7 linked regions of the Oryctolagus cuniculus genome follow. The protein of the gene in region 1 interacts with the protein of each later gene in a biochemical or structural test. Links are inferred from orthologs where the notes say so. Each region holds a gene or a part of one and is shown on either strand. Other genes may lie near its edges.

Region 1 (4,774 bases):
ATACTAGAAACCACTTAAAAGCCACACCCTTCCGTGGTGGGCGTGTGCAGAGAAGGCCTGGGCCAGCAGGGACACACAAGCCACCGACTGTCACTCACCAACACCCAGCAAAGCCAACAAACCCTCCCAAATCATCCAAGGTGAACCCCAAGCCAAGCCAGGCTACTGCCCCAAACACACCTGTTACGGAGGCAAACGCCAGGGGGTGGATTAGCGTCATGAGTGGCTGTGGACCTGGGGGGGGGGGCTTTCCCTCCTCTCCCCCTCCAGCCAGCCACACATTTCTTTCTGTACTCAGAGGGAGGGTTAGAGATGAGGGGCCGGAAATTCATAAAACACAGCTCAGAATCAGCCAAGCGGGAGAGACATTTCTCTTCCACCGTAGTATGGGCGTGGAGGGGGCAGGGTGGGGGAGGGGCCGGCCAGTGTCGCTGTCCCAAGGGGGAGCCAGCACTGGGCCAGGACTTGGAGCTACAGGTTCCTGAGTACCAGGGGGTAAGCGGGGTCTCCCGGGAGGGAAAAGAGCCCCCCGCTGCTGGAGCCGTTAGGGGGCGGGGGTGAGTGTCCCTAGGCACCACCGCGGGGGCTGGGCGCTGCGCATTCCCTCAAGGTCCTGGGGTGACACCATTAAGCCCCCCAAAACGGAGCGAAATCTCGGACCATGGCACCGGGCTAAAGGTGTTGTGCCTGCCGGGCTCCCTCTCCTCCCCAGGGGCTGCAAAGGGCTCCCCCTTTCCCGGGCCGCCCCAGCGCTGCCGAGGGGCGAAGGGCTGGGGGAAAAGGATGCTTGACTCAGTCCGGGGCGGCTCCTGCGGGCGCTCCACCCCAGCCAGGCTGTTCCAAGGAGCGGAACCCGAGAGGCCTGCGCGGACGAGCTGGCCCGACCACGCTCATCGCTCTCGGAGCCCCACGCCCACACCAGTTTCCAGCGCTGGAATAAAGCGGAAAGCCATCACCCGGGAGGTGGCCGCATACCCCCGTCTCACTGCCAAATGCGGCGACGAACTCCGACTCTTAAGTGAAAATCTCGCACTTAGCAATATTAATTAGCCCAGCCAAGATAATAAAATACATCCGGGACGCCTGTCTGGGTGGCTGCGGCCGCCGGGGACTAATTAGAAAGAGCCACAGGTCAGGGACGGGGGACTCCCCAGCGCGCGCATCTCGAGGCCCGCCCTGGGTCCCCAATTTCCGCGGGGAGGGGGCGGGGCGACGCCGCCAGGGTCCGTCACCGGACGCGTGCGGTTCCCATGGCAACTCCCCACTCAGCTAGCTCGGTGGGTCTGGAAAAAAATGGGTGTGGCGGTGGCGCCCGAGGGAACCTCACGCCCCCTCTTGACATTCTCCAGCCTGGCGTAGCAACAGGGCGTAAAGCCGGGAGAGACGCCGGCGGCGAGCGCGCCCCCATCGCCGGACAGCCGCGCGGGCGTGTCCCCCAGGACGCTGGCAGCCTCGGGAGGTGCACGGCGCGCCCAGACCCCGAATCCCACCCCCCTGGGCAGGGAGGGCGCTTCCCCCGCGTGGGGCTGACCTCCGGGAAGGGTGGCGGCTGTTCCACCAGCGCCCCGGAGGCTCGTGACCAGGGCTCATGGACCCCCGGCAAGCACCAAGAGCCGACAAAGGGTGGGAAACGAGGGGGCTAGGAGTCTTGGCTGAACGCCCTCGTGGAATGGAAGAAACCCCCAGACGGGGCCGCGAGCACGGATCACGTAAGCTCTAGGAACAAAGCAGCGAGCTGTCGAAGAAAATTCCGCGTGCTCGACCCCCGCGCTCACTCCCGCAGCATCCAAACGCCGCGATTTCGGGGCTGATGGTGTCCCCCCACCCAAGGCCAGTCCGTGCCCCGTTCCGCGGAGCCCGACCACCCGGCTCGGCTTGGGAACAGAAAGACGTGACAGCCGCAAAAAGATGGCACCTCGCGTTCGGCAGGGAAAAAACGGGGGAGGGGTGGGAGTGGGAGGAGGCACAGCCTGCTCCCCCCTCCGCCGCCCACCCGGGTCCACACCCACTGCCGCAGTGAGGGGCGAGCCCTGCGCGCCAGCCCCGCGCCTCCGGCAGGGAGCGCCCGGCGCAGAGCGAGAGAAAGGGACCCGCCCCGAAAGGCACCTGCAGCCCCCGCGCCCGGCTGTGCAGGGCTGCGGCCGTGCGCGCCCGCGAGCCGGGAGCCGCGGCCCCGCAGTCCGTCCACGTCGCACGGCCCGGGGCCGCCTGCCTCGGAGGGCGTCCCCGCGGGGACCCACGCACCATCTCTCCTCGGGCGCGGCGCTGCCCAAGTCCCCGTGCCAGGCGCGCGCAGGGGGAAGGGCGGCTGGAATGACAGCGCCTGGCCCCCTCCCCATCTCTCGGGTTCCTCCCAGCCCCCAAATGTCCCCTGTGGCTTTCTGAAGGAGGAACGGACGGAGGAGGGGGCGGCGAGGAGGGCGCCGCCGGGGAGGTGCGGGCACGGAGGTGTGCGAGCCATCGTCTTTTCGAGAACCCGATCCGGGTCTTGTTCTCAGCAGACAGCGGCAGAGAAGTCGAATTTGAGGTTCGGTTTCGGGGGTCGTCATTGGACTCCCCCCTACACACACACACGCCCATTGCGGCAAAAGGCTGCGATGGAGGACAGAGCGCAGCCCCCTCCCCCAGGCCACCATCCGCGCCCCACCCTGCGGGCACAGCCTCCGCCCGGGACCCCAGCCACACAAGCGCACGCACACACACGCGCCCCGGTCCACGCCGCCCGGCCCCAGCCCCCGCCGCAGGTGGGCATTAAACTCCGGCTGCGGCGGCTTGCGGAGCGCACGGGAGGCGGGTGTCCGAGTCCCGGCGCTTACCTGGTAGTCGGCAGACGGCGAGGACTGCAGCGGGCAGCCGAGGGAAGGCGGCGGCGCTGGCGGTGTGCAGACGGTGTGCAGCGGCGGCGGCGGCGCTGCTGCTGGTGCCGGAGCCGGTGGGTGGCGGTGGCTGCGAGCGCGCGCGCGCGGGCGAGGGGGCGCGTCCCCGAGCCCGACCGGAGGCGCAGGCGCGAGCCGCGGGGGCACGAGCCACCCCAGGGGCGGGGCGGGCCGCGAGGCCTCCGCGGGCGCCTTCTCCTCCGGCCGCCAGGGGGCGCGCGCGAGCGGCCCGCCCACGGCCCCCGGCTCACTCCTCTCCCGAGTCCCCTCCCCCACGTCTTGGGCCGCGGCGCGGCCAGCCGCGCGCACGCGCGCTCCGTAGCGCACGCGCACTTTAGGCCTCCCGCGGCTGCAGCCTTTGTCTTGTTGGGGGGTCTCCTCCCTCCGGCCCCTAGCTGAACGCGCGCTGCCATGCTGCCCTTTTGGTTTCCATCTGCCCGGGGCGGTGTCCTATGTCGGGAGCCCGCGGCGGGTTTCCGTGCACCTGCGACCTCCGCGCCTCTCCCCCGGGTCCCCCCGAAAGGCGCTCCCGGCTGGAGGTCACCGGCCCCGCTGCCTGTCTCCTTGCTGCTTGTCACCCTTTTTTGTCATTGAACAAGGTCACTTCTTTGCTTCATCGATCCGTGTCGTGGTGCTACTGTTACGGGTTCGTTTTTAAACGAACGGCTGCTCGGATCGCAGCGCAGCCGCGGCTGCAGGTGCAGCTTCCGACGCGGGTCTGCCAGTGCCTGCAGGGCACCGTCGGCCGGGATGGCTCTCGGCAGCCTGAAGCTGACCTGCGGCTGCCCTGGGAGTCCACACATCCCCAGCATCCGAGGAAGCCCCGACGTGGGAGACAGAAAGGGGCAGGGGCGGCCGTCTCACCCTCGCGGACGGGGGCTTGAACTCAGCCTTTCCTTGCATGGCTCCTTTTTTAGACCGATGTATGCTTTTGGATTAATATAAAAAGCAAACAGTGAAAATCCTGTCTTCACACGGGTTTAATTATTATTGGGAGCAGCGGGTAGATGATGGAGCTGGGGCTAACTGAAAAAAAAAATATCATTGATTTTCATTTTTGAGAGGCAGAGAGACAAAGATACTGACTTCCATCTGGTTCTGTACCCAAATTCCTGCAACAGCCAGGGCTGGCCCAGGAGCTTGGACGTCCGTCTGGGTGGCAGGGACCCAGGTAGGTGAGCTGCCCAAGGAGCGTGTGCCCGGCAGGAAGCTGGAAGGTGGAGCAGAGCCCAGGCACTCCTGTGGCCCGCGGCATCCCGCAGTTTCTTGGAGCGAATTTCTCTCTCTCTCTCTCTCTCTCTCTCTTTCTTTCTTAAACAGATTTATTCTATTTATTATTTGATAGGCAGAGTTACAGAGAGAGGTAGAGACAGAGAGAGGTCTTCCATCCACTGGTTCACTCCCCAGATGGCTGCAATGGCTGGAGCTGCACTGATCTGAAGCCAGGAGCCAGGAGCTTCCTCCGGGCCTCTCAGGTGGGCGCAGGAGCCATCCTCCACTGCTATCCCAGGCCATAGCAGAGAGCTGGATTGGAAGAGGAGCAGCTGGGACTAGAACCGGCGCCCAAATGGGATGCCGGTGCCTCAGGTCAGGGCGTTAACCTGCTGCACCACAGCGCAGGCCCCGGAACGAATTTCTGAAGCCACAGGGTCTGAGTTTCTGGCCTTGACTTGTTCTTCCAACCGCCCAGATCCTTGTTCAAGACGCCTCTGTTGGCTCTGGACGTGTGCAGCCTTTGTCGGTCTCTGCTCTCACGTTCTCCCTGTGCCAACCCACCCTGCAGCCCTTAGCCAGATCAAAAATGCCACAAACCTCTGATCGCCCCCTGGGTTCGAGGCCCCGGTGATCTAGGCTCTCTTTCCGCCTGCCCAGGGCGGTGTCCTGTGTTGGGAGCCCGC
Region 2 (3,101 bases), on another chromosome or scaffold:
AAAGGGTCTTTCTCCTGGGGGTCTCCTGTGTAAGATCATCCACCGTGTGCCTTGAGCCTACCTTTCCTCTCACTGGCTGGGCTGTGAAGTTCAGCCCCGGCCCCAGAATGCCTTGCGGCTCAAGGCTGTTGGATGTGGGGGCGTCAGAGGGCTGCAGTGAGGTGCAGCCCTCGCCCTCTTTACCTATGAGGCACAGGAAGGAGAATGCCGTGGCCGCTTGCTGCTTGCTTGCAAACCCCAAGTCCCCTGGAGGCCCCGACTGTTCTGCCAGCTCTCCCACAATTCTGTGAGCTCCTTTCTTTTCTCACCTCATTCTGCTTGAAATGTGTGAGCAGTTCCTGCTTCCTGCATGGAATGCCCAGTGTAAAATGGAGAGATCAGTTCTCACCCTGCAAGATCATGTTGAAGGGTGTGAAGGCATTGGCCTGGATCTGCCAACAAAGCTGGGAGCAGGGGGACTTACCGAAAATGAAGTTGTCGGGCCTGAAGAGGTGACCAAAGGCCCCCGAGCGGACGCTGTCCATGGTCCCGGGCTCCAGATCCACCAGGATGGCCCGAGGCACATACTTGTGAGCTGCAAGGAGAGAGGGGCTCAGTCACACAGGTTACAGTGGGTCAGGGGTGCCCCCGTTCTCCATCCTTCCCTGACCTCAAGAGACGGGACCCAAGGGTGAGCTTGGAGGCACTGGTGAGGCTGAGTATCTACCTTTACCCTCGGCCTCACGAGTGTAACACAGGGATGGGGGGTGGAACAACATGTCCCTGTGGGCAGCTGAGCGCTCCCCAGTCTGTCACAGCAACAGCCCTGGTGCAGCAAGCCCTCGGGTGACGCCCCCCGTGCCCTCTCAGGATGCAGCCAGCCACCCAAGCTTCCTGCCTGCTCTCAGGGCCATCAAACAGCTTGGCGCACTCTGTGGACACCTAGGCTAATGGATAGGAGGGCAGAGATGCTGGAGCCCAGGCTGGGGTGGGGGGTGCTCACAGGAGGCCTCGTTGTAGTAGACGCTGATGCGCTCCAGCTGCAGATCTGAGTCCCCCACATAGTTGCCGCTGGGGTCTATGCCGTGCTCGTCACTGATGACTTCCCAGAACTGCAGGAAAGGAGGTGGGGAGGAAGAGTCAACTGGCGGCCCGTGACCCCCGGCAGGGCCCTCTGAAGCCTCAGAGACCTCAGTACAGAACCAGGGGCTCGGGCCTGAAACCTCCACGAGCCCACCGAGACTCTCTGGATCCAGACCTACTTGCTGGCAAGAGCCCTGGTCAGTCCGTTGGTCTGTGGAAGGGGCTAGCAGTAAACACCACATGGAGAAACTTTTTTGTTTCTCCTTTTCAGATCAGGGAACCGCGGGAGACACGGCGATAGCAGGTTGCAGAGCCACACCCTGTATGTGGCCCCTGTCCAGTGACGGGGCAGTGAAACCGGCACTCCATTGATGACCTCAGCCAAGGGGCCAAGGGGACCTGTGAGGCTGTCCCAGTGAGTGGCCCCCAGACTGCCCCTGTGGAACCTGGCAACTCAGAGCCTCGGACTCTCACTGCCTTCTGCTGCTCACCTTTCCCCGCCTTGGGCCGCCTGGGTTCACAGTCCAGCCCCACCCCTTGCCAGCTGCACAACCTTGGGCAGGTCACAGGGGTTCTCTGCGCCCCATGTCCTTGGCTGTACGCAAGCTCACATGAGCACGTAGCACGGGGCTGGCGCTGTGTGGAAGTGTGAGCCCAGGTATGTGAAGGGCAGGCCTGCCACACTCCAGGGACGCCTCTTTGCTTGAATAGCAAGGTGGCTGCCCCCTCTGACAGGCCATCTCTGGCCCACACACTGCGGCTTCTGGGGTTGTCCATGTCACTCCCCTACTCCCCAGGCCAGAGTGACTGTCAGATAAGTCACTGGGCACGCAGGCCTCAGCGCAGCCAACGGCCTCAGTCACGTCCTGGTGAAAAGGCCACTGCAGGAACCGAGCGCGCTGCCCTGTCTGGCCGTCTCTGACAGTCACAGAAAGCTGTCCTTGGGACAGAGAGGCTGCTTCTCACCGGGTGGAACTTTGTCGTATGCACCCAGGAGCTCTCCAAAGGGATCAGGGAGTAATGGATCTGAAGAGACCGGGCGATGTGATCATGCGATTACCACACAAAGACACTGCAGAGAGGCCTCCCCCTCTGTGCGTTGTTATTACTGCTGAGCTCTCTTCTTCTTGCATGAAGTGTGAGAATTTTCACCTGGGAATGTCACAGAGGCCTTTCAGGCCTGCCCCTGCTGCTTGGCCCCCTGAACCCGCCCGAGAGCCCTCCGAGCAGCTCTTGGCAGCTTGTCTGAGCCAGGGGCCTGGCGCCGCACAGCCCTGGGCACTTCAAAATCCTGGCATCAGGAACACCCACAGTTACCAGTCCCTGGGGAGGGGATGGGCTCAGCCACTGTGCTGCCAGTGCATGAGGGACAGTTCCTGGCGGAGCGTGAAGCGTGGGACTCCTAGGAGGCCGAGGGCTGCAGCCCTGCGCCAGCCACACTGTGGGCAAGAGCCCCCTCTTCCTTGGACCTTAGTCTTCTCAGGAAGACATGATAATGGTGCTCACATGAACATAAGCAGCATAAAGGCCAGGAAAAAAGCAATCAGCAAACGTTGTCTTCATTTCCTTAGAAGGCCTTAGGTGGAGGTGGCGTTGTGGCGTGGAGCTGCCACCTGCAGTGCCAGCAACCCATAGGGGTGCCAATTCGGGTCCCAGCTGCTCCACTTCCGACCCAGCTCCCTGCTGTGGCCTGGCAAGCAGCAGAAGATGGCCCAAGTGCTTGGGTCCCTGCACCCACGTGGGAGATCCTGCATCCTGGGTTTGGCCGTGACCAGCCCTGGTGATTGTGGCCATCTGGGGAGTGAACCAGAGGATGGAAGATCTCTCTCTCTCTCCCTCTCTGTAACTCTGACTTTAAAATAAATAAATATTTAAATAAAAGGCCCTAGGTACTATTTAAAGTTTAAAGGCACATGTACAGACAGATTAAGCAAAATGGGCTGGAAGAATAAAAAACAAAACCAAACCGTGTTCCTGCTCAGAGAGAGGAATTTTAAACTCCAGGTTTCCGCGCTTGCTCCATTTTTTTTTTCCAGAAT
Region 3 (4,136 bases), on another chromosome or scaffold:
GCCCGGTCCTGGCCGCAGGAGCCCTCCGGGGAGGGGCTTGGCGGTGCTCCCCCAGCCTCCCCGACGTCCGCTCTGCAGGGGGACATCCCGGGAGGGCAGGGTAGCCGCAGCCTGGGGGACTTTGTCCTTGCAAACTGAGGCAGCGGATGGCTGCGTGCAGACGGGGCAGGGAACTGGGCCCCCGGCCTCCGCAGATTTCCAGAAGAGGCGGGTCTGGAATTTTGGAGCCTCAAGCAGAGCTACTGGGACTGCTGCATCTGGGGCTGGAGCGACACAGTCCCGGTGCAGGGGTGCGGCCCCGCTCGCCTCGCAGGAGGCGCTGTCAGCACTTGGCCAACCCGCGCCCCGAGGCCTGGCGAGGAGGCTGCTGGGTGATGTCCCCGAGTTACCTGGGGAGGCCGCCTCCCCTGCGCCTTGAGAAACAGGGCCGACTGCCAGTGCCTGCTGCGGCTTTGCCCCCAACCCAGCCCTGGGCCTTGAGTCCCTGGGACAGCTGGGGGCAGGAGCCCATGGGAAGGTGACTGCTGGAGCGCGCTAGGCTGCCCAGGTGTGGGCCCACCGTGTGCAGGGCGCTGGCCTCGGCACGCGCCGTTCACTCCTGCATCACCAAACCTGCGGGGCGCATGCCGCTGCTTGCCTGGTTGTGCAGGCAAAGAACTGGCCGTTCAGAGAGGGGAGGTCATTTGTCCAAGGTCACACAGCTGGCAGCGCGCAGTGCCAGGATGCAAGCCCCAACAGTCCTGCAAACTGCAAGGAAGAGGACGTGTGGGTGACTCCTGGCGGGCGGGCCCACCACCTCTGCCAGCCAGGTGCTGCGATCTCAGTAAACAAGGGGGGGGGTCCCAGAGGCTCGCACCTGCACCGCCTGGGAGGGAATTGGAACAGAAACCCTGACCGTGGGACGCTGGCCTTCATCACGCTGCCCCCAGCCCTGCCTGGGCTCCTGCTGTGCCCTAACTTAAGCCGGGAGTCCAGACTCCACTCCGACTTCATTCAGGCCCTGGGGGGTGGGGGTCCTAAGCCCCATCCATTCCCAGAACCCAGAAGTTCCAGCCGGGCACAGGGAAGGCGTGCTGGAGCAGCAGCCGGCCCAGTCCCCGCCTGCACCCCAGTGGAGAGGACGTGGGACACCGAGGGAGGCGCCCCTCCCTTCCTAGGGGCTGGGGGCGGGGGTCACGGGGCCTCCAAGCCCCACCTCCTTCCTCGCCCTGCTGTGTGCGAGGGGGGAGAACAGCCCACCTCGTGACTGGGGGCTGGCCCAGCCCGCCCTGGCCCCGGGGAGGGGCGGGGCAGGGGGAGCCCTATAATTGGACCCGTCAGGGATCCCTGCCGCCCTGCTCTGCCCCAGCCGAGGTGCAGGCGAGGTTCCGCAGGAGGCGGTGAGCAGCACAGCGGGGGGCTGAGGGGCCTCCAGGGAAAGGGGGGGTCCAAGGGCAAGGGAGCGACTTGGGGACGGGCTGTGGGAGAGAACGTGGTGGCCTGTGCCTGCGTCGGGACAGAAGGACGGCCGAGCAGGGCTGAGGCTGGAAGCAGGGCTTGGACCTCAGGCAGGGACATCCCATCCTGGCTGGGGCTGGGGTGGGGCAGCAGCTGGAGCCACAGCGAGCCCTGGGGCGGTTGCTGCCACTTATTTGTCCTTCCCGGCACCCCATCTCCGCAACTGGGGTCTCGGGAAACAGGGACTACGTCCCAAGACCGACTTGTTAAAAACCGTGGTTCAATCAGCTCCTACATGGCAAGTAGGGCTTAGACGTGAGGTTGGAGCTTAGAATGTGACGGCGGGACGAGGAATGCGACATGGAACTCAAGAAGCCCAGCCTGGAGCCAGAAAGCTCGGGGGTGGGGGGGCTGGGGGAGTGGAATTCGACCCCTGGGAGAGGGAGATGGAATTCTGGCCCCGGAGCCGGCCGGAGGATGGGGAGACTGGAGCAGACAATGCGGGAGCTGTGCAGCCCCCCAGGGGCGGCTTGGTGAAATGATTGTGATCGGACTAAGGCTGTCACAGACAGGGGCCAGGGCGAGGCTTGGGGATCCTGGGCCCGGGCGCAGCCGGAGCTGGGCTCCGGGGCGGGGGGGAGGGGACCGTCCTCCTCCGCTGTTGATTGACAGTTTCTTCCTCCCAAGACTGACCAACCGCAGGCGGGAAGATGAAGGTGTGGTGGGCTGTGTTGGCGGCGGCGATCCTGGCAGGTATGGGGGCGGGGCTTTCTCGGGTTCCCCTGCTGCGCGGCCCCTGCCCGCACTCCAGCCCCCTGTCCTGGGGAGGAGGCGCGCCGAGCTGAGACCTCTGAGGCCTGCTGCGGTTCTGAGCCGCTGTTTCTCCCCCGGGCCTCGGCTTTCCCCACCCATAAAATGGGCGTTGAAGTTCCTAATGCACACAAGGCCCATCAGTGTTTGCCGACTGAGCGGAGACCCCACCCGCTTCTGCCCCCGCGGCCCGAACCCCGCACGGCCCCTGACCACTTTGCTCCCGCACAGGATGCCGGGCCGAGACGGAGCAGGAGGTGGAGGTGCCGGAGCAGGCCAGGTGGAAGGCCGGCCAGCCCTGGGAGCTGGCCCTGGGCCGCTTCTGGGATTACCTGCGCTGGGTACAGTCGCTGTCTGATCAGGTGCAGGAGGAGCTGCTCAGCTCGCAGGTCACCCAGGAACTGACGTGAGTGTCCCCGCCCTGACCAGGAGCCTCCTGGGGGGCGGCGGGGGGCGCCTCTGCACCCTCGGCCAGTCTAGATGCCTTTGCGTCCTTGGGGTCGGGGGCCCTGCTCCTGCGTCCTCTTCCCACTCCTGACTCCGGTTTGACCTCTCCGGCTGTCTCGCACCTTCCCAAGCCCCCTCCTCCTCGCCGGCTCCTCTGGGCCTCGCTTGGTCCTTGGGGCCCCTTGGTCGCTGCCAGCGTGCACCCAGCCCTGGCTCCCCAGCTCACGCCCGCCCTCCCGCCCCCTGGGCCCCGCAGGATGCTGATGGAAGAAACCATGAAGGAGGTGAAGGCCTACAAGTCGGAGCTGGAGGAGCAGCTGAGCCCCATGGCGCAGGAGACGCGGGCGCGCGTGTCCAAGGAGCTGCAGGCTGCGCAGGCGCGCCTGGAGGCCGACATGGAGGACGTCTGCAACCGCCTGGCGCAGTACCGCGGCGAGGCGCAGGCCATGCTGGGCCAGAGCACCGAGGAGCTGCGCGCGCGCTTCTCCTCGCACCTGCGCAAGCTGCGCAAGCGGCTGCTGCGCGACGCCGAGGACCTGCAGAAGCGCATGGCGGTGTACGGCGCCGGGGCCCGCGAAGGCGCCGAGCGCGGCGTGAGCGCCATCCGCGAGCGCCTCGGGCCGCTGTTGGAGCAGGGCCGCCTGCGGGCCGCCACCGTGAGCACCCTGGCCGGCCAGCCGCTGCGGGAGCGCGCGCAGGCCTGGGGCGAGCGGCTGCGCGGGCACCTGGAGGAGGTGGGCAGCCGCGCGCGCGACCGCCTGGACGAGGTGCGCGAGCAGGTGGAGGAGGTGCGGGTGAAGGTGGAGGAGCAGGCCGCGCAGATGCGCCTGCAGGCCGAGGCCTTCCAGGCCCGCCTCAAGAGCTGGTTCGAGCCGCTGGTGGAAGACATGCAGCGCCAGTGGGCCGGGCTGGTGGAGAAGCTGCAGGCCGCCATGCCCAGCAAGGCGCCCGCGGCGGCGCCCATCGAGAACCAGTGAGCGCCTCGCGGGCCGCCCCCGCCCCGCGCGCCCCGCCTCCCCGCCCCGGTGGACGCCCCCCCTTAATAAAATTCACCACCTCCACAGCAGCTGCTGGGTCTCCGCGTGATTCCTCCCATGGGGCTCAGCCTCCTTTTTTTTTTTTTTTTTTAAGATGCACTACTGGAAAGAGTGACAGACACAGAGAGCTTTCCATCCACTGGGTCACTCCCCAAAATGCCCACCACTGCCAAAGTTGAGCCAGGCGGGAGCCAGGAGCCTGCATCCGGGTCTCCCACATGGGCGCAGGGGCCTGAGCACTAGGGCCACCCTCCACTGCTTTCTCAGGCCATAGCAGAGAGCTGGATCGGAAGTAGAGCAGCCGGGACTCAAACCGGTGCCCATATGGGATGCCAGCACTGCAGGCGAAGGATTAACCTACTGAGCCACAGCGCCGACTCCCCCTACCCCAAGCCTTGTGTATTT
Region 4 (4,091 bases), on another chromosome or scaffold:
CAAAGTAACTGAAATTTTTTTTTGACAGGCAGAGTGGACAGAGAGAGAGAGAGACAGAGAGAAAGGTCTTCCTTTGCCGTTGGTTCACCCTCCAATGGCCTCCGCGGCTGGCGAGCTGCGGCTGGCGCATCGCGCTGATCCAATGGCAGGAGCCAGGTACTTCTCCTGGTCTCCCATGGGGTGCAGGGCCCAAGTACTTGGGCCATCCTCCACCTTACTCCCTGGCCACAGCAGAGAGCTGGCCTGGAAGAGGGGCAACTGGGACAGAATCCAGCGCCCCGACCGGGACTAGAACCTGGTGTGCCGGCGCCGCAAGGCGGAGAATTAGCCTAGTGAGCTGCGGTGCCAGCTCTGAAATATTTTCAAAGAACAAAATAGAGGGGATAGTGCTGTGGTGTAATTGGTAAAGCTGCCACCTGCAGTGCCAGCATCGCATATGGGCACCGGTTTGAGTCCCAGCTGCTCCATTTCCAATCCAGCTCTCTGCTATGGCCTGAGGAAGCAGTAGAAGATGTCCCAAGACCTTGGACCCCTGCATCCACATGGGAAATCTGGAAGAAGCTCCTGGCTCCTGACTTTGGATCGGCTCAGCTCCAGCCACTGCAGCCAGTTGGGGAGTAAACCAACAGATGAAGACCTCTCTCTCTCTCTCTGCCTCTCCTTCTCTCTGTGTAACTCTGCCTTTCAAATAAATCTTTAAAAAAAATAGATCAGCTTTCCATCCTCATCCTATCCTGAACTTTTTACTTTGCTAAACACATATTTGATCAATACCAGAAAGACTATGGCGCTATGCTTTTGATATTAGTTTGAATAGTACTTGTCCCCTAAATCCTCATGTCTGTTCCTAAAGCCTCATGTAAATGGCACTAAAAGGACAAACATTTAATCCAATTATGGTGGCTGAAGATGGAGCTTTTTGGGAAAAATTGGGATTGTTAGTATGGAAACCCCATGGTCAAATCATGGTGGCTTTATGGGCTCCCCTCTTTCTAGGTGATGCCCTGTGCTACCCTGGAACTGCCAGCAAGAACACCAGAATCGTATACTGAACATAAGTCCCAAATAAAATCTCCTTCCTTTAGAAATAGCTTATCTAAGTATATTATTTTAGAACCCAAAAGCTGACTACACTTAATTTCCAAAACCGCATACTTTACAGTTATGTTATCTCAGGCACCACTTGGTAACAAAATGGCTGTCAACATATAAAGCATAAAAATTGTGGAAGGAAAACAATTTTTTTTTCATTATTCTACTTACTAACACTTCCTCTAAGCAAATTCCCGCAAAACGCGAGGACCTCTACAGAGTAGTCTCTTCACATTCACAGAGACTAAGTATTCAAAGTTATGGGAAGACTCTTACCTTAACAAGCGAAGAATCCATGAACTGACCAGGAGGGATTGAATCCAAGTACTTCTTGAGATCCATGGAAAGGAATTCAAAGATGAGATATAACCTGGAATCTTGCATAAGCACATCTTGAAGACTGAAGAAGAAAACAATTACATGAACAAAAGTCCAGCAAGCATTTTTATCACAAAATAAAACTACTGCAAGCCTCAGTGAATATCATACAAAATGTGGGGAGATTGGTAGCTTCCCAAGTAGAGAAAACCTTAATACAAAAATAGAATTTGAGAAGGAAATCTCAGGACAATAATTTAAAATTAAACCTTCAGGCAAGCATTTGGCCTAGCAGTGACCACCAGGTTAGGATCCACACCAGAATAACCACTTTCAACCCCTTGCTCTAGTTTCTTATTCTAGTTTCCTACAAGGCAGACCTCAGGGAGGCAGTAGTGGCGGCTCAATTAGTTGGTTTCCTGCCACCCACATGGGAGACCTGAATTGTGTTCCTAACTCCTGATTTAGTTCTTGCAGGCATTTGTAGAGTTTACCAGCAGATGGGAGACTTCTCCACCTTTTTTCTCTGTCTCCCAAATTTTTTTTAAAATATTTGTTTTTATATTTATGTGAAAGGCAGAGTTACAGAGATCTTCCATTCACTGGTTCACTTCCCAGATGGCCCCAACAGCCAGGGCTGGGCCAGGCCAAAGCAGGAGCCACAAGTTTTATCCAGGTATCACAGGTGGGTGCAGATGCCCAAGGACTTGGGCCATCTTCCACTGCTTTCCCAGGCACATTAGCAGAGCTGGATTGGAAGTGGAGCAACTGGGACTTGAACCGGCTATCATATGGGATGCTGGCATTACAGGTGGTAGCACACTGTACAATGCTAGCCCCTAAAATTTTTTAAAAAATTATAATAAAATTCTTATTTTACAGGAGGTGTTAACTTAAATAATCTGTATTCAAAAAACATATCTAGGTTGGTTGCTCGCTGTCTTGCCACTGAAGTAATACAGAGGAATTTTAGAGTATTATCTGACCTTAAGGGCTGTTCCCTATCTCCAGCTTAGCAAAATGCAATTAAATTAGATTTTAACTTAGATCACTAGCAACATAGCTTCCCTAAAGCATCCAATTCAAATACTTAAAGGAAAGCATTTTCTGCTTTTCATCCAACTTGGCTGCCTGCCTTAGGGCTGATGAAGGCACCTCCAGAAACTAGAGCTCCCAGGCTGGGAGTTAAAGCTTTCTGAAAAGGGCTTCTTTTCTTCCATTGCTATTTTACCTTGCTTTTCAGGACCTAGTACTAATTCTTATTACCATGCCTCTCTAATAATTCTTTCACTCTATTGTTTGCTTTAAAGATTTATTTATTTCTTTGAAAGGCTGAGTTACAGATAGAGACAGAAATCTTCCATCTACTGGTTCCCAAATGGCCCCAACAGCCAGTGCGGGGCCGGGCTGAAGTCAGGAGCTTCACCCAGGTCTCCCATGTGGGTGGCAGGTGCCCAATCGCTTGGACCATCTTCTGCTACCTTCCCAGGTGAATTAGCAGGGAGATGGATTGGAAGTGCAGCAGCTGGAACTCAAACCAGCACCCATATGGGATACTGGCATCATAAATGGCTTTATCTACTATCCCATAATGCCAGCCCCTCTTTTGCTGCTTTAATAGTATTTTGCCTATGCACAGCATTATCAATTAACAAAAATGTCTCTTTTCTACTTTAGATAAAAATTAAGCAAATGCAAAAATTCTCACATTGAAATTCATTCAAAATTGTGTGTAGAAAAATGGTTTAAACTCAGATATACCATACCTGACTATATTTGGATGACGAAGTTCTTTTAATAGAGAAATTTCCCGAATTGCAGTACTAGGAACCCCTTCCTCTTCACTTTCTAGTCTGATTTTCTTCATAGCTACCACTTGGCCTGTAGTTTTGTGTCTACCCTTATATACAACTCCATAGGTACCTGAAATAGACAAAGTAAATTTCTACTATGTGACACACCCCCACAACCTAGAAGGTTCTTTAAATGATTAAATCCCATAAGGTGTCATACAATAGAAATGTCTGCTATCAACAGATAGGAATTATCAACTATTCACTCATTGCTTCCAAAAAGAAACTGAGGATAACACAACATATCATGTATATGGTTTAGAAATAAAATTCATAGTCATAAGTTTCCCACACATATAAACTACCATTTAATGTTCCTGCATTTACAAGTAGAACTTGCACAAATTATAATGTATCTCATCAAACATCATACCCAACAATGAATCAGGTCCCAAACAGTATAAAGACTTGGACTCCGAAAATATTACTGACAAGAATCGCCTTGACATTTTCAGAGTAGCTGATATAGACAGCGTTGTGCTTTTCATGCTATTTTATATGCATCAAAAATACAATCAACAAGCCTCATCCAGAAAACAATGAAGATTCAAAATAAGACATTTAGTTATATATGTATTAATAAAGCTCACATTATCTACTACATAGTAGGAAAATTTCACACCCATTTGGAAGTGGATGAAAACATAGATAAGCTTTAGATAATGTAATAATGTCAATATAAGAAATAGAGTATATTGGGAGATGGATACATAAGAATAATAAATAGATTGGCTAGTTCGTTAAACCAAATTCACACATATGTTACACTTAGTAACCCAGCTAAGTGCTTTTTAAATTGAGGTATCAGTTTTTTAAAGGAGGTCCTGA
Region 5 (4,091 bases), on another chromosome or scaffold:
AATGTGCCGGAGAAGGTGAAGGCGCGGCAGCTGTCGGCAGGATGGATGTGCTGGCGGCGGGGGACCGCAGGCCTGCTGGGGCTCACTTCGCTGTGGAGAGACAGCCCGGTGCTGCCTGGCACCCTGCCAGCCTGCACCCGCCGCCGCGCAAAGTGCCAGCCCAGCAGTTTGCTGGGGACCGGGAGCGTCCAGAGGATGTGCGTGGAGGTGGGGACGCGGCTCCAGCCCGTCAGAGCCGGGCAGCGTGGACCCCGAGACTGCCCCCGGCCACGTCGGTACTGGCTGTGAGCTCGCACAGGCTGGGCCTTGCGCAGGCCCATCCTGTCCCCAAGCATTGTGTGGTGTCCCCGAGGCCAGAGCTGACCCAGGCCGGGTCGCAGGAAGCTAGCTAACCCTGTCACCCTGCTAAGGGCAGCCATCCCCTTCTCCCTGTCCCGGGCATGGTGGCCTGGAGCCTGGACAGGACCTGGGGCTCCGTGCAGCACCTCAGGGGCCACCACTGTGCTCCCAGCCCAGGGCTGGGTTCCAGGCTGTCCTGCAGGTGGGCCGGCCAGCAGTGGGGCGGGAGCGGGTCCCACCCGGGCATCTGCACCTCCTGATGGCAGCGCCTGGCTGGACCTGCCTAGAGGGCAGCTGAGCCTGCTGGAGAGGCCCTGGGTGGAGCCTGGCACCGCCACAGGTCTGAAGGGGGGGGGGGGCGCTGAGGAGACCCTGCGCTGGGCGCCAGTCGCTCCCTGCCAGAGGCCCAGGCCCCTCTGGACCTCGGGGTGGGCAGGTGCCAGTCTGCAGGTGTGCAGTGGCCTCTGCCCCCACCCTGGCGGGGCCGGGGGTCTCAGGTCCCACGTTGCTTTGGCTGAACTTAAGACGAGGGCTGTAGCCCAGGCACGGCGAGCACTGTGGGTCCCCATGGGCCTGCCTGGCCGGACGCAGAGGCAGAGGTGTCCCTCGGCCTGCTCCTGGCCCCCGTGGAGGGGTCTGTGTGCTGAGGGCAGCCCCCTCACCGACACTGGGGGTGGGGGCCCTGTGTGTGCCGTGTGGCGCAGGACCGAGATGGATTTCTGGGGCGCGCGCGGGTGCTCATCAGTCTCCCCGCTCGCTCAGCGTCCTGGGGAGCGGCAGCTGGTGGGATGGCAGGCACTCCATCAGGGGCCGACAGCTCCAGACTGGCGTGCAGGCGGGTGGGCACGGCGCCGGGCGGCCCGGGACGGGGGGGCTGTGCAGCCCCCAGAGCCCGCTCCGCTCGCCCCCTGGAGCCCCTGCCTGCCCCCACCTGCCCAGAGGGGGTGCCTGTGGTGGGCTGGAGCCTCTTCCCTGAGGGTCGCCCTTTGCTCCTGCCAGAGGCCCCGGTGGCCCCAGCCTGGCGGGGCGGGGTGGGGGCTGCCTCCAGGCTCTCCCAGGGGGGTCCTGGGTGGGGAGGGCGGCTGGCCCCAGGACCCTGCATACAACCCCTCCCAGCTGTGGGGGGCACCCTCATGAGGGGGCAGAACCTTGTCCTTCCCCCAAAGCAGCCCCCGCCGCACCTGAGCGACCGCCCCCTGCATTGTGGGGTGGGGCCTGTTAGCTGGCCTGCCCCCCTGGGCATCGGGGTGTGGCCTTACTCCACTGCTCTGGTCCTGCTGGTGGGCTGGCTGGAATCAGGCCCACCCCAGTCCAGGCACAGTAAGCACCCAGGGGTGCTTGGGGGGGCCTCTTAGAGCCCTGGGCTGTGAGGGGGGTGGCTGGGGTGCAGGTCCCAGCCCAGCCCGGGGCTTCCGGGTCCCATCTGCAAGTGTGTCCAGGACCAGGGTGCAGAGTGGCAGCTGCCGGGCACCTGGGGAGGGAGGGCCACTGCCCTGAGTGCCTTGCCCAGGGGACGCCTGCCGACCCGTGTCCTCTGAGCTCCTCTGGGGGTGGCCTGTCCCTGTGTCGTCCCCAGCTCTCAGCCCACAGTGAAGCAGCTGCCTAATTAGCAACTTCCCTGTCGTTCAGACTCTGTGCTCGGCAAAATGTAAATGAGGCGTTTTCTCGGGTGTCAGTGTGAAAAATGGCGCAGCGCGGCTCCACGGAGCATCTGCCGTGTCCCCGAGCGCCGCGGTACTGGGGGAGTCGGCCCCCGCGCCTGGACCAGGGGCTGTCCCAGGGTGGGCGGCAGCTCTGCCCTCGGCCCCAGGACTGTGCTGCTGGCCCTTCCTTGCCAGTGCCAGGCTCTGTCCTCTTGGCTGGAGGCCGGCTCAGGCCAGCAGCCACACCCTGGAGCCTGGGTGCCCGGCCAGTGCCTGAGCTGGGCACCAGCTGACCTACTGCCTCCCCCTCCAGGAAGGCCAGGTAGGTGGGCCCAGGCCTCCTCCCCGTGTCCCAGGTGTGCAGGTGGGCCTGGCCCCTTTCCGGCGCAGCGAGCCTGCCTTCCCGTCCCCCACCCTCTGCCTGGCGTAGCTGGCCAGCGACCTGGACAGGGGCCCTCACCGCCTGTGTCCTCACAGGGGAGTACATCAAGACCTGGCGGCCACGCTACTTCCTCCTCAAGACTGATGGCACCTTCATCGGCTACAAGGAGCGGCCACAGGACGTGGAGCAGCGCGAGTCCCCACTCAACAACTTCTCTGTGGCACGTAAGTGTCCCCTCGGCCACTCCGGGTTGGACGTGGGGCGGTGCCTGGAGTGGTCCGTGCCCTGTGGGACTGGGGGCCAGCCCTGGCTGGCGGGGGCCTGGGCCAAGCTGCATGGCTGTCCTGTGGAGCTGTTCCCTGAGCCTCCTGCCCAGAGGGGACAGCTCGGGCTATAGGGAGCCTCCAGGCTCTCCCAGGGGGGTCCTGGGTGGGGAGGGCTGCTGGCCCTAGGACCCTGCATACAACCCCTCCCAGCTGTGGGGGGCACCCTCAAAGCTGGCCAGTGCCACTTTTTCCCCTGCCTGGCTCCCCAGTTGTCCCTCCCACGATGCTGGCTGGGGCCGGGCAGGTCCACTGCCACTTTCTACCACCTGGCAGCCCAGCTCTGCCCTGGGGCTGGCCTGGGGCAGCTGGGGGCGATGGGCCTGCCAGCCGTGGGCCTCTGGGTTCTGCCCCTCCCTCTCCTTGGCCAGCACCCTGGGGTCCTCTGGCCCCTGGCCTTCAAGGGCCACCCAGGTTCTGGTTTGGGGGCTGCAGGGAGGTCTGGCACAGGTGGCTCGACCTGGGCGTCGCCCTGCCTGTGGGCATCTGCGTGGGGATGGGCTGCGGCACTGGCTGCTGGGTCATCCCTCCCGGGGCCCACTCTGTGCTAGAGGAGGGGCCTGGCCGTGGGGATTCCCGTGAGCCCCAAATGCCACCCTCCCCGGCCTCAGGCCCAGCTTCCTGGGCCGGAGGCCACCAAGGAGGCGCAGGCCAGTTCCCTGGAAGCCTTGCTATGCCCGCTGTGGGGGTGAGGCAGGAGGGGCCTCTGCAGAGGAGCCCATGGGGGCAGCGCCAGCCGGGGGCAGGGGGCGCTGCCTGGCCAGGGCGAGAGCCAGCGTGTGTGTGCGGAGGGCCTGTGTCCAGGGGCTCTGCCTTGTGGGAGGACCGAGTGAGCTTCCTGCCCGCACAGACACAGGCCGCCTCCCACCAGGCTGGGCCCCGGGCCCCCACGCAGCCCCTCGCCCGGCAGACCTGGCCCTCGTGGTTGCCAGGGTGCTGGTGCTGGAATGCACACGCTCCCCGGCTGTGGGCGTGCGTGCTACAGGCACACGTGTGGCAGGCGTGCGTGTTCCAGGGGCGTGTACTGTAGGTGTGCGTGTTCCAGGCGCGTGTACTGTAGATGTGCATGTTCTAGGCGTGTGTACTGTAGGTGTGCGTGTTCCAGGGGCGTGTACTGTAGGTGTGCGTGTTCCAGGCGCGTGTACTGTAGGTGTGCATGTTCTAGGCGTGTGTACTGTAGGTGTGCGTGTTCCAGGCGTGTGTACTGGACTTCCGGTCAGGGTCTCCCAGCGACAACTCGGGGGCCGAGGAGATGGAGGTGTCCCTGGCGTGCATGTTCCAGGCGTGTGTACTATAGGTGTGTGTGTGTGTTCCAGGCGTGTGTACTATAGGTGTGTGTGTGTGTTCCAGGCGTGTGTACTGTAGGTGTGTGTGTGTGTTCCAGGCGTGTGTACTGTAGGCGTG
Region 6 (4,091 bases), on another chromosome or scaffold:
GAGAAAGGTCTTCCTTTGCCATTGGTTCACCCTCCAATGGCCGCCGCGGCTGGCGCACCACGCTGATCTGATGGCAGGAGCCAGGTGCTTCTCCTGGTCTCCCATGGGGTGCAGGGCCCAAGCACTTGGGCCATCCTCCACTGCACTCACTCCCTGGCCACAGCAGAGAGCTGGCCTGGAAGAGGGGCAACCGGGACAGAATCCGGCGCCCTGACCAGGACTAGAACCTGGTGTGCCGGTGCTGCAAAGTGGAGGATTAGCCTAGTGAGCCGCAGCGCCAGCTAGTTTTCTGTGTATTTGAAGAGAAGTAGAAGTGTCAGAATATTTTCCATTACTCTAAGTGTGTGTGGTAACACTAGTATTTTTATAGTCTTCATTAATTAGAGAGGACAGCAAAGCATGAAAGAATTGTGTTGACCCATGGACCTCATTGTCTCTAGTGCCCACTCAATTTGAAAAGTACTGTTTTAAAGAAAGCTTGTTAATTTATCTTTGCAACATCTCAGTGTAATGTCACTTCTTCTCTTGATAATATAGGTAAATACATTTTTTCTTTTTCCAAGGGGGAAAAGATTTGTTGCTATGAAAGTTGTAAAAAGTGCCCAGCATTATACAGAAACAGCCTTGGATGAAATAAAATTGCTCAAATGTGTAAGTACTGCAAAAATGTGAATGTTGTAACAGAAATTAATGACTGAAAAAAATCTTTAAAAAGTTAATTTCTGGCTGGTACTAAATTAAAGTAGAATTTCTTTTTCCTAAGTTCAAATACTGAACTTAAAACAAAATCACCTTTATTACTGCAATGCAAAATATTCTCTGTCTTGAACTCCTCTGTTCTTGGATTTGATTGTGTCTGCACAGGTTCGAGAAAGTGATCCCAGTGACCCAAACAAAGACATGGTGGTCCAGCTCATCGATGACTTCAAGATTTCAGGCATGAATGGAATACGTATCCTTTTCTTAATTGTTGATGACTTATAATTTTTTTCCTTTAAAAAACAGGATTGTTCAGGCCCCTAAATACTCATGTTTGCTCTTACATCCCTGTCAGCACAAAGCCCTTGGGATTTTGGGAAGTGTTAGAAAGTGGTGCCCCTAGGTGGTTTGGAAGGACTTTTTGGTGTTTTTTTGTATAGTGGCATGTTAGAAACTTGAAAAGAAAACTGTTACAGCAACTTGATGTGGTTTTTGAATGAATTATTGATCTTTTTTCCATTCATTGTGGTGAACTTTGTTTGCAGAGATAGAAGCATAAAAACAACACTTCTTTGTGCTTTAAAGTCAGTGCCCAAGGGCTAGCTCTGTACATGCTCCAGGGACCAAGAAGCACCTTGTAGGGTTGGAACATTTGTTGAGGCAATAAATGGAAAAATGCTCTGTTTGTGTTGACATCTCCAGGTTGCACTTGAGTGCTGTATGTGTACGGTGAAAACTAAGGGCTGGCACTGTGTCATAGAAGGCTGAGCCTCTGCCTGCAGTACCGGCATTCCACATGAGCACCTGTGCATGTGCCAGCTGCACGTCTTCTGCTCCAGCTCTCTGTTTATGGCCTGGGAAAGCAGGGGAGGATGACCCAAGTGCTTGGGCCCTGCACTCTCATGTGAGGCCCAGATGAAGCTCCTGGTACCCTGGCTTCGTCTCGGCTCAGTTGCAGCCATTATGGCCATTTGGGGAGTGAACTAGAGGGTGGAGGACAGTTTTTTGTGTCTCCCTTTCTCCTTCTGTAACTCAACCTCTCAAAAAAAAAAAAAAAAAAAAAAAAAAAGTCTTAAAAAAGTGAACACTAGGTCGGCGCCGCGGCTCGCTAGGCTAATCCTCCGCCTTGCGGCACTGGCACACCAGATTCTAGTCCCGGTCTGGGCGCCGGATTCTGTCCCGGTTGCCCCTCTTCCAGGCCAGCTCTCTGCTGTGGCCAGGGAGTGCAGTGGAGGATGACCCAAGTGCTTGGGCCCTGCACCCCATGGGAGACCAGGAGAAGTACCTGGCTCCTGCCTTCGGATCAGCGCGGTGCGCCAGCTGCAGTGCGCTGGCCGCGGCAGCCATTGGAGGGTGAACCAATGGCAAAGGAAGACTTTTCTCTCTGTCTCTCTCTCTCACTGTCCACTCTGCCTGTCAAAAAAAAATAAAATAAAAAAAAATAAATAAAAAGTGAACACTAGCACTAATAATACAGTGGTCCTCTCTTGTCTGCAGGATATACTGTCCTGGACCCCAGTGACTGCCTGAAACCATGTGCTCCATTCTTATTTACTGATTAGTGTTTTCCTGTACATTCGCTAACTTAATGCCTTCTATTTTTTAATTAAGCACTTAGCATCCGTTTTTCCAATAATTTTGCTGGTTGAGGTGTTAACGACAAGACTGGCCTGAATGTTATTTTTCATTCACAGATTTATGGATAGAAATTGCATTCTTACCTTAGATTTTGAACAATCTCAACATGGGATTTTTTCCATTAGTGGAGAACTTTTCTTTTTTCAAGGCTTCTTTTGGGTAAATCCACATTGCCAGCATCATGACTGTAGAGCTTTGGGATGATTATTGTATAAAATAACACAAGTACTGTGATGCTGAAGCGCGATCAAGGCTGCTGAGAGATTAGGGGGCAGGCAGCATCTGTTGTGTGGGTGTTCTCAAAAAGGTAGGAGTCCCATCTCCCTGCAGGACAGTGCGAGGTGCCATCATGCTCCTTGGAACCATGGTCAGCTTAAAGCTGTTGATTTCTGGAATAGGCCATGCAGTATATTCGGACCGTGGTTCACTGCAGGCAGTGGTGCTGTAGACAGTGAAGCTGTGGTGGTGTGCAGGGGAGCTGCTGTACTCGGTTCTTTCTCTAGAATGATGCAACTGAATCTTTCAAATAATTGCTTCTGCAGAGGATCATCTTTCTGCCCTGTGAGGATGCAAGTATTTTAGTTTTAAAATTTTTTTAAGATTTATTTATTTATTTGAAAGAGTTACACAGAGAAAGGAGAGGCAGAGAGAGAAGGAGAGGTCTTCCATCCGATGGTTCACTCCCCAGATAGCTGCAATGGCCGGAGCTACACCATTCTGAAGCCAGGAGCAGGACTTCGCCCAAATCTCCCACATGGGTGCAGGAGCCCAAGGACTTGGGCCATCTTCTTACTGCTTTCCCAGGCCATAGCAGAGAGATAGATGGGAAGTGGAGCAGCCAGGTATTGAATCAGCGCCCATATGAGATCCCAGTGCTTCAGGCCAGGGCGTTAACCTGCTGTGCCACAGTACCGGCTCCTAGTTTTAAAATTTTATACCCAGTTTCTCTGCTTTGCAAAAACCTGGTAAAAATAAATTATTTTCTCTACTAGTTGGTAAATCTGGCATAAAGCAGGGGTTAATGGAAGATTATCTTTAAAACCTTTATTATGAAAAATTTAAAACATATAAAAGGAGATATTAAAATGAATTTTTGCAAATCTATCACCCAAAAATAATAATTATCAAGCTCTGGCCATAATCATTTGATTTAGTATTCCTTTCTCACTGAATTACTATCATTTGTTTTCATTTTTATTTGAAACAGAGAGAGGTGGCCAAAGTACTTGTGCTCCTGCCACCCACACAGTGGGGACCAAGAGAGTTCATGGCTCCTAGTTGTAGCTTGGCCTAGCCCTGGGTGTTGCAACCATTTGGGGAGTGAACCAGTGGATGAAAGATAGAATCTCTGTCTCTGCCTCTGTGTCTCTTTTTCTATTGCTCCTGCATTTCAAATAAATAGGGATTCTGTGTCCAATGGCCTTCACAGGAAGGTTGCTTTGGAATTTGTCATGAATCACGCCACTGTTTCCTTGAGCACAGGTTACCTTTCTCCAGATTCCTCTGGTTTTGTAAGGTTTACTGCCAGGAGTCACCGTGTTGTTTCTTTTGTATACATAAACACTTCTCTTTCCCAAGTAGAATTGTTTCATCTTGATCATAAACACCTTCAGTTTTTTTGTTAAGGTTTATTTATTTATTTGAAAGTCAGAGTTACAGAGAGGCAGAGAGAGAGAGATAGAAAGAGGTCTTCCATCCACTAGTTCACTCCCCAGATGGCCACAAAGGCTGGAACTGTGCCGATCTGAAGCCAG
Region 7 (4,623 bases), on another chromosome or scaffold:
GCGCTGTGTGCCGGCCCCACTGGACAGAGGGCCAGAGTCTCAAGGCCTTGGGGCTGTGAGGTCAGCTTTGTCCCACGAGCTACCCAGGATGACTCGCCCAGGACCACCCTTTGCACCTCTGAGGGCGACGGACTCCTCTGCTCCTGCCTGGTGGGGGTCTGGGTGGGGGTAGGTAACCCCGAGGACCTGGGGCGGGGCCACAAGATGAAGACGTAGTTTGGGCCTGCAGCCAATGGGACGGAGGGGCCCTGCCCCCACGGAGCTTCCTGTGAACCCCAAGCAGGCTGAGCCCAGGAAGAAGCAGAGCGGCCTGGACACTCGCTGTCCCTGTGTGCGTTGTCTGAATGGTCTCCGGCCTGGTCTCGCCGCTGGGGCCTCCCCTTACGGCTGGGGAGCCCAGGAGCCGGGGTCAGGGGACTGTGAACCCCTCCTGGAAGGGGGTGACTCGGGCCCCTCCCCAACACTGGCTGTAGGGAAACAGGAACCTGGAGGCCTGGCTTCCAGGGGTCTGCTGCTGCTGTCCCCCGGGGCAGTCAGGAAAGAAGGGGCTCATCTGTGAGGACACCCCTACACACGCAAGGGACACTCAGGGGGAGGGGAAGGCTGTAGGTCCTGCCATCCACGCCCAGGTGGTCTCCACCCTCACCCCTCCCCTTAGGGATGGGAGTGACAGGACCCAGGAGCCTGGCTGGTGCCAGCGAGGGGTGAATGTTGGCTTGTCCAGGTGGCCAGAATGCCCTTCAGCCCCAGCGGTGACCAGCCCTTCCGGTCACTGTCCAATTTCCAGTGAGCAGGGGGAGGGAGAGGTGAGGATGGGAAGGAGCCACGAGCAATGCTGCTGACCTGTCCATGTCCAGAGAATGGAGCCAAGACTGCATCCTGCTTGTTCCAGACCCTCACCAGCGATTCGTGTGGCGGTGGGGAAGCATCCACTGAGTCCCCCTCCCCGCCCGGGTCTCCGAACCCCTTAGGGGCCCCAGCAGGACAGGCCCTGGACCCCGGCCAGGGTCCCAAGACCCATGAAGTCTGCATGAAGCTGCGGGTCCAGGGAGCTCGCTCCGCGTTTCACGCTGGTCCCAAGCACCCCAGCTTCACCGGCGCGCGCCGCTGGGTTCGTCTTGAAAAAGAGGGGGCGACTGGAGCCCAAGTTCCTCCCATCCCGGGAGGGGGCGTCCCGCCCAAAGCCCCCGACCCAGCGTCTGTCCGTGCCTGCGGCGACTGCCCGCGAGGCCGGGGCTTAACGGGAGGACGCCGGCCACGGGACCGCCGCGCAGGGCGGTAGGGGCGGCTCCCAGGGTCTGGGGAAGTTCGGGTGGGCTTCCCGAAGAGGCAAAAAGTACGAGGGACCCGAGGGGACTCATCTGGGGCCGCTTCTTCCCGAGCCCTGGCCCCAGAGGCCCCCCGGGTCGCCGCTGTCCCTGGTGCTGACCGGCCGCGCCCGCGGGAGACCCCAGCAGGTGGTCCGGCGCCACAAAGGCCCGGCCCTCAACCCCCTTCCGTCCCGAGAGGAAGCGCTTCCCGAGCTCCGGGCCCGGATCCCGCCGCCGCCCCGGTTTCCGCTCGGCTCCGGGCGCCCCCGCCCCAGCCAGGAGCCCCGCGCGCGCCCCGCCCAGCGCCCCGCCCCGCGCCCCGCCGCCCTCAGCTGCGCGCGGCTCCGGCTCCGGACATGTCGGGGCCCCGCGCCGGCTTCTACCGGCAGGAGCTGAACAAGACGGTGTGGGAGGTGCCGCAGAGGCTGCAGGGGCTGCGCCCGGTGGGCTCCGGCGCCTACGGCTCGGTCTGGTAGGGGCGGGGCGCGGGGCGCGCTCGGGGCTGCGGGCGTGGGGAGGGGCCTCGGCCTGCCCCCGCCCCCGGGCCCTGCGCGGGCCGCGGCGATGCGTCGGGGTGAGGGCGTGCGAGAAGCGTGCCCGCCGCACGCCGCCCCCAGCGGGGCGGGGGTCGTCTTCCTGCCGCGCCCAGTCCCGGGATGGCGCGGCCGGCGGAGGCCGGGCGCCCCGGGGCCCTCGGCGTCTGCGCTCCCCTCGCAGTTCCTGGGTTAGGGGTCGCGCGGCTCAGGGTCCGGCGGATACCCCGCCCCCGCCCCGCGCCATTGTTTGAAAACGGAGGCTCGCAGCGTGGCCTCGGAGCCCCTTGCGGGTCCTGCCCACTCCTCGTTTTCCCAGGAGTCTCGGACTCCATCCTGAGCGGGGGACCTGACGCCCGATCCCCAGAGCGCAGGTTCCAGAGCCTGAACCCAAACAGACCACGGCGGCTTGTGGGGGGCGGGGGTGCCGATTGGGCCGCGGCCTTCGCTCCAGGACAGGAAAGCCGGACAGGGCGGTGACAGACCAGCGTTGTGTAGACAGGCTGCTCACAGGTGTGGACGCTGCCAGGTGCCCCCATGGCACCCGACGAGGTCGTCACTGGCCGCTGCTGGGTCCCAGTGGGGCCGGAGAGGCTGGGGACTGGTGGGCGGGCGTGGCTGCCCGCACCTGGGCGGATCTTTGCCTGTCCCCGCAGCCTGAGGCGGTCACCTCGGCCACTCCAGCACCGGGGCACCGTCTTCCGGCGTGTGTGAGTGACCAGAGGATATTGTGGCAGGAACCCAGGTGGACTCATGGCTGGGTCTGCACATCTGGGAGTTCCGGGGGTGTCAAGTCCCCACAGGGGGACCTGGGCTTTTCTGGGCTGCACCCCAACCCTCCATGTTTGCTGAGTTCCACTGCCAAGGAGGTGACTGCGCGGGTGCCCATTCCCTGTTGCTCAGCTAACCACACAGATGCAGTTGGGCCAAAGGATCTGCCACCTCCTCTCCAGCAGTGACTTGGATTTGCCCCTGTGGGTCACAACCTGGTGATGGGGGCACTGGGGGCCTGGTGAATTTTTCTCTGCCACTGGCACCCATGAGCGTCCCACACCGGGGGCAGTCAAGTCTGGGCTCACTGCGGGGCGGGTTCTGAGGGGAAGGGAAGGGGTGCGTGGGCGGGCGCATTGGCCAGAGAGCCGGCTGTGCAAAGGGCTCCAGACCTGCTCCCAGCTGAGCCCTGATCGTGACCGAGACTGCTGCACCTGCCGCCAGGCGAGGGGCTGCTGCCGAGGGGAGGGGCGTGGGGCTGGGCAAGGCCGGCCTCGCTGGGCATTCCCAGTGTCCACTTCCGGTTGCCAGTGATGCAGCACACACTTCTGGACCTGCCCAGTCCCGGGGTAGGGGGCACCCTCTGCCCTGGGAGTACCCAGGCCTCTCCCCGAGCCGGGGCCCAGCCTCAGGGGCTCCTCTGGATCTCGGGCGAGGAGGGGTTGGGCGCGGAGCTGGGGAGGCTGCCTCACTCGCCCGCCTTCCAGCTCAGCCTACGACGCCCGGCTGCGGCAGAAGGTGGCGGTGAAGAAGCTCTCGCGGCCCTTCCAGTCGCTGATCCACGCCCGCAGGACGTACCGGGAGCTGCGGCTGCTCAAGCACCTCAAGCATGAGAACGTGAGCGGGTGCTGGCCGGCGGGAGGGAGGGCCGGCGGGAGGGAGGGTGGGGGGAAGGACCGGTGGGAGGGAGGGTGGGGGGGAGGGCGGGGGGGGTGGGGAGGGCCGGCGGGGGGGGGAGGGCGGGGGGGGTGGGGAAGCCCGGTGGGGGGGAGGGCCGGCGGGAGGAGGGCCCCGGGCCCTGGGCCAATGGGAGGGAGGGCTGGCAGGAGGAGGGCTCTGGCCTGGGGCCGAGCCCTGCCCACCGCATGCTGCCCAGCTGCTTTCCTGCCTCCCAGGTCATCGGGCTTCTGGACGTCTTCACGCCAGCCACGTCCATCGAGGACTTCAGTGAAGTGTGAGTGCCTGGCGGCTAGAGGAGCACCTTCGGCCCACGGCAGTGGGGCTCCGGCCTGACCCCTGACCCCCTACCTTGCCCCAGGTACTTGGTGACCACCCTGATGGGCGCAGACCTGAACAACATCGTCAAGTGCCAGGCGCTGAGTGACGAACACGTCCAGTTCCTGGTATACCAGCTGCTGCGTGGGCTGAAGGTGGGGGTCTCTGGGCGTGGGCTAGAGGTGGGGTCTTAGGGCCTGGGCTGGAGGTGGGGTCTTAGGGCCTGGGCTGGAGGTGGTGGTCTTAGGGCCTGGGCTGCAGGCGGGGTCTTAGGGCCTGGGCTGGAGGTGGGGTCTTAGGGCCTGGACTGGAGGTGGGGGTCTTAGGGCCTGGGCTGGAGGTGGTGGTCTTAGGGCCTGGGCTGCAGGCGGGGTCTTAGGGCCTGGGCTGGAGGTGGGGTCTTAGGGCCTGGACTGGAGGTGGGGGTCTTAGGGCCTGGGCTGCAGGCGGGGTCTTAGGGCCTGGGCTGGAGGTGGGGGTCTTAGGGCCTGGGCTGCAGGCAGGGTCTTAGGGCCTGGACTGGAGGTGGGGGTCTTAGGGCCTGGGCTGTAGGCGGGGTCTTAGGGCCTGGACTGGAGGTGGGGGTCTTAGGGCCTGGGCTGCAGGCGGGGTCTTAGGGCCTGGGCTGGAGGTGGGGGTCCCTGGGCACATGGCCAATGCTCACCACCTCCCTCCCCGCAGTACATCCACTCTGCAGGGATCATCCACCGGGTAGGTGCAGCGTGGGCGACGGGCGGCGGGTGGGCTCAGGCGGGCGCTATCCCTGCGCTCAGGCCTCTGCCCGCCCACGCAGG

The links.
Region 2: the proteins of MAPT (region 1) and TUBB3 form a complex in vitro, tested with the Homo sapiens proteins (3 studies listed by BioGRID, with this or other methods). The link is inferred for Oryctolagus cuniculus from reciprocal best matches to the Homo sapiens genes MAPT and TUBB3.
Region 3: the proteins of MAPT (region 1) and APOE form a complex in vitro, tested with the Homo sapiens proteins (2 studies listed by BioGRID, with this or other methods). The link is inferred for Oryctolagus cuniculus from reciprocal best matches to the Homo sapiens genes MAPT and APOE.
Region 4: of the proteins of MAPT (region 1) and CDK1, one has a biochemical effect on the other in vitro, tested with the Homo sapiens proteins (2 studies listed by BioGRID). The link is inferred for Oryctolagus cuniculus from reciprocal best matches to the Homo sapiens genes MAPT and CDK1.
Region 5: of the proteins of MAPT (region 1) and AKT1, one has a biochemical effect on the other in vitro, tested with the Homo sapiens proteins (3 studies listed by BioGRID and IntAct). The link is inferred for Oryctolagus cuniculus from reciprocal best matches to the Homo sapiens genes MAPT and AKT1.
Region 6: of the proteins of MAPT (region 1) and SRPK2, one has a biochemical effect on the other in vitro, tested with the Homo sapiens proteins (2 studies listed by BioGRID, with this or other methods). The link is inferred for Oryctolagus cuniculus from reciprocal best matches to the Homo sapiens genes MAPT and SRPK2.
Region 7: of the proteins of MAPT (region 1) and MAPK11, one has a biochemical effect on the other in vitro, tested with the Homo sapiens proteins (2 studies listed by BioGRID). The link is inferred for Oryctolagus cuniculus from reciprocal best matches to the Homo sapiens genes MAPT and MAPK11.

The regions. Positions count from the first base shown.
Region 1 is NC_091448.1:17,309,885-17,314,658, forward strand, and holds the start of MAPT (microtubule-associated protein tau), read right to left. Parts: upstream 2,992-4,774; 5' UTR 2,817-2,991; intron 1-2,816. UniProt on the Homo sapiens protein: Promotes microtubule assembly and stability, and might be involved in the establishment and maintenance of neuronal polarity.
Region 2 is NC_091449.1:69,472,209-69,475,309, reverse strand, and holds part of TUBB3 (tubulin beta-3 chain), read right to left. Parts: intron 1,092-3,101; coding exon 983-1,091; intron 575-982; coding exon 464-574; intron 1-463. UniProt on the Homo sapiens protein: Tubulin is the major constituent of microtubules, protein filaments consisting of alpha- and beta-tubulin heterodimers. Microtubules grow by the addition of GTP-tubulin dimers to the microtubule end, where a stabilizing cap forms.
Region 3 is NC_091449.1:11,763,898-11,768,033, reverse strand, and holds APOE (apolipoprotein E), read left to right. Parts: upstream 1-1,336; 5' UTR 1,337-1,379; intron 1,380-2,109; 5' UTR 2,110-2,147; coding exon 2,148-2,190; intron 2,191-2,478; coding exon 2,479-2,653; intron 2,654-2,950; coding exon 2,951-3,671; 3' UTR 3,672-3,760; downstream 3,761-4,136. UniProt on the Homo sapiens protein: APOE is an apolipoprotein, a protein associating with lipid particles, that mainly functions in lipoprotein-mediated lipid transport between organs via the plasma and interstitial fluids.
Region 4 is NC_091446.1:53,166,780-53,170,870, reverse strand, and holds part of CDK1 (cyclin-dependent kinase 1), read right to left. Parts: intron 3,334-4,091; coding exon 3,177-3,333; intron 1,493-3,176; coding exon 1,369-1,492; intron 1-1,368. UniProt on the Homo sapiens protein: Plays a key role in the control of the eukaryotic cell cycle by modulating the centrosome cycle as well as mitotic onset; promotes G2-M transition via association with multiple interphase cyclins.
Region 5 is NC_091451.1:46,976,132-46,980,222, reverse strand, and holds part of AKT1 (RAC-alpha serine/threonine-protein kinase), read left to right. Parts: intron 1-2,459; coding exon 2,460-2,588; intron 2,589-4,091. UniProt on the Homo sapiens protein: AKT1 is one of 3 closely related serine/threonine-protein kinases (AKT1, AKT2 and AKT3) called the AKT kinase, and which regulate many processes including metabolism, proliferation, cell survival, growth and angiogenesis.
Region 6 is NC_091434.1:139,290,101-139,294,191, forward strand, and holds part of SRPK2 (SRSF protein kinase 2), read left to right. Parts: intron 1-563; coding exon 564-651; intron 652-864; coding exon 865-952; intron 953-4,091. UniProt on the Homo sapiens protein: Serine/arginine-rich protein-specific kinase which specifically phosphorylates its substrates at serine residues located in regions rich in arginine/serine dipeptides, known as RS domains and is involved in the phosphorylation of SR splicing factors and the regulation of splicing.
Region 7 is NC_091442.1:123,217,466-123,222,088, reverse strand, and holds the start of MAPK11 (mitogen-activated protein kinase 11), read left to right. Parts: upstream 1-1,599; 5' UTR 1,600-1,666; coding exon 1,667-1,782; intron 1,783-3,321; coding exon 3,322-3,451; intron 3,452-3,729; coding exon 3,730-3,788; intron 3,789-3,872; coding exon 3,873-3,984; intron 3,985-4,510; coding exon 4,511-4,540; intron 4,541-4,622; coding exon 4,623-4,623. UniProt on the Homo sapiens protein: Serine/threonine kinase which acts as an essential component of the MAP kinase signal transduction pathway.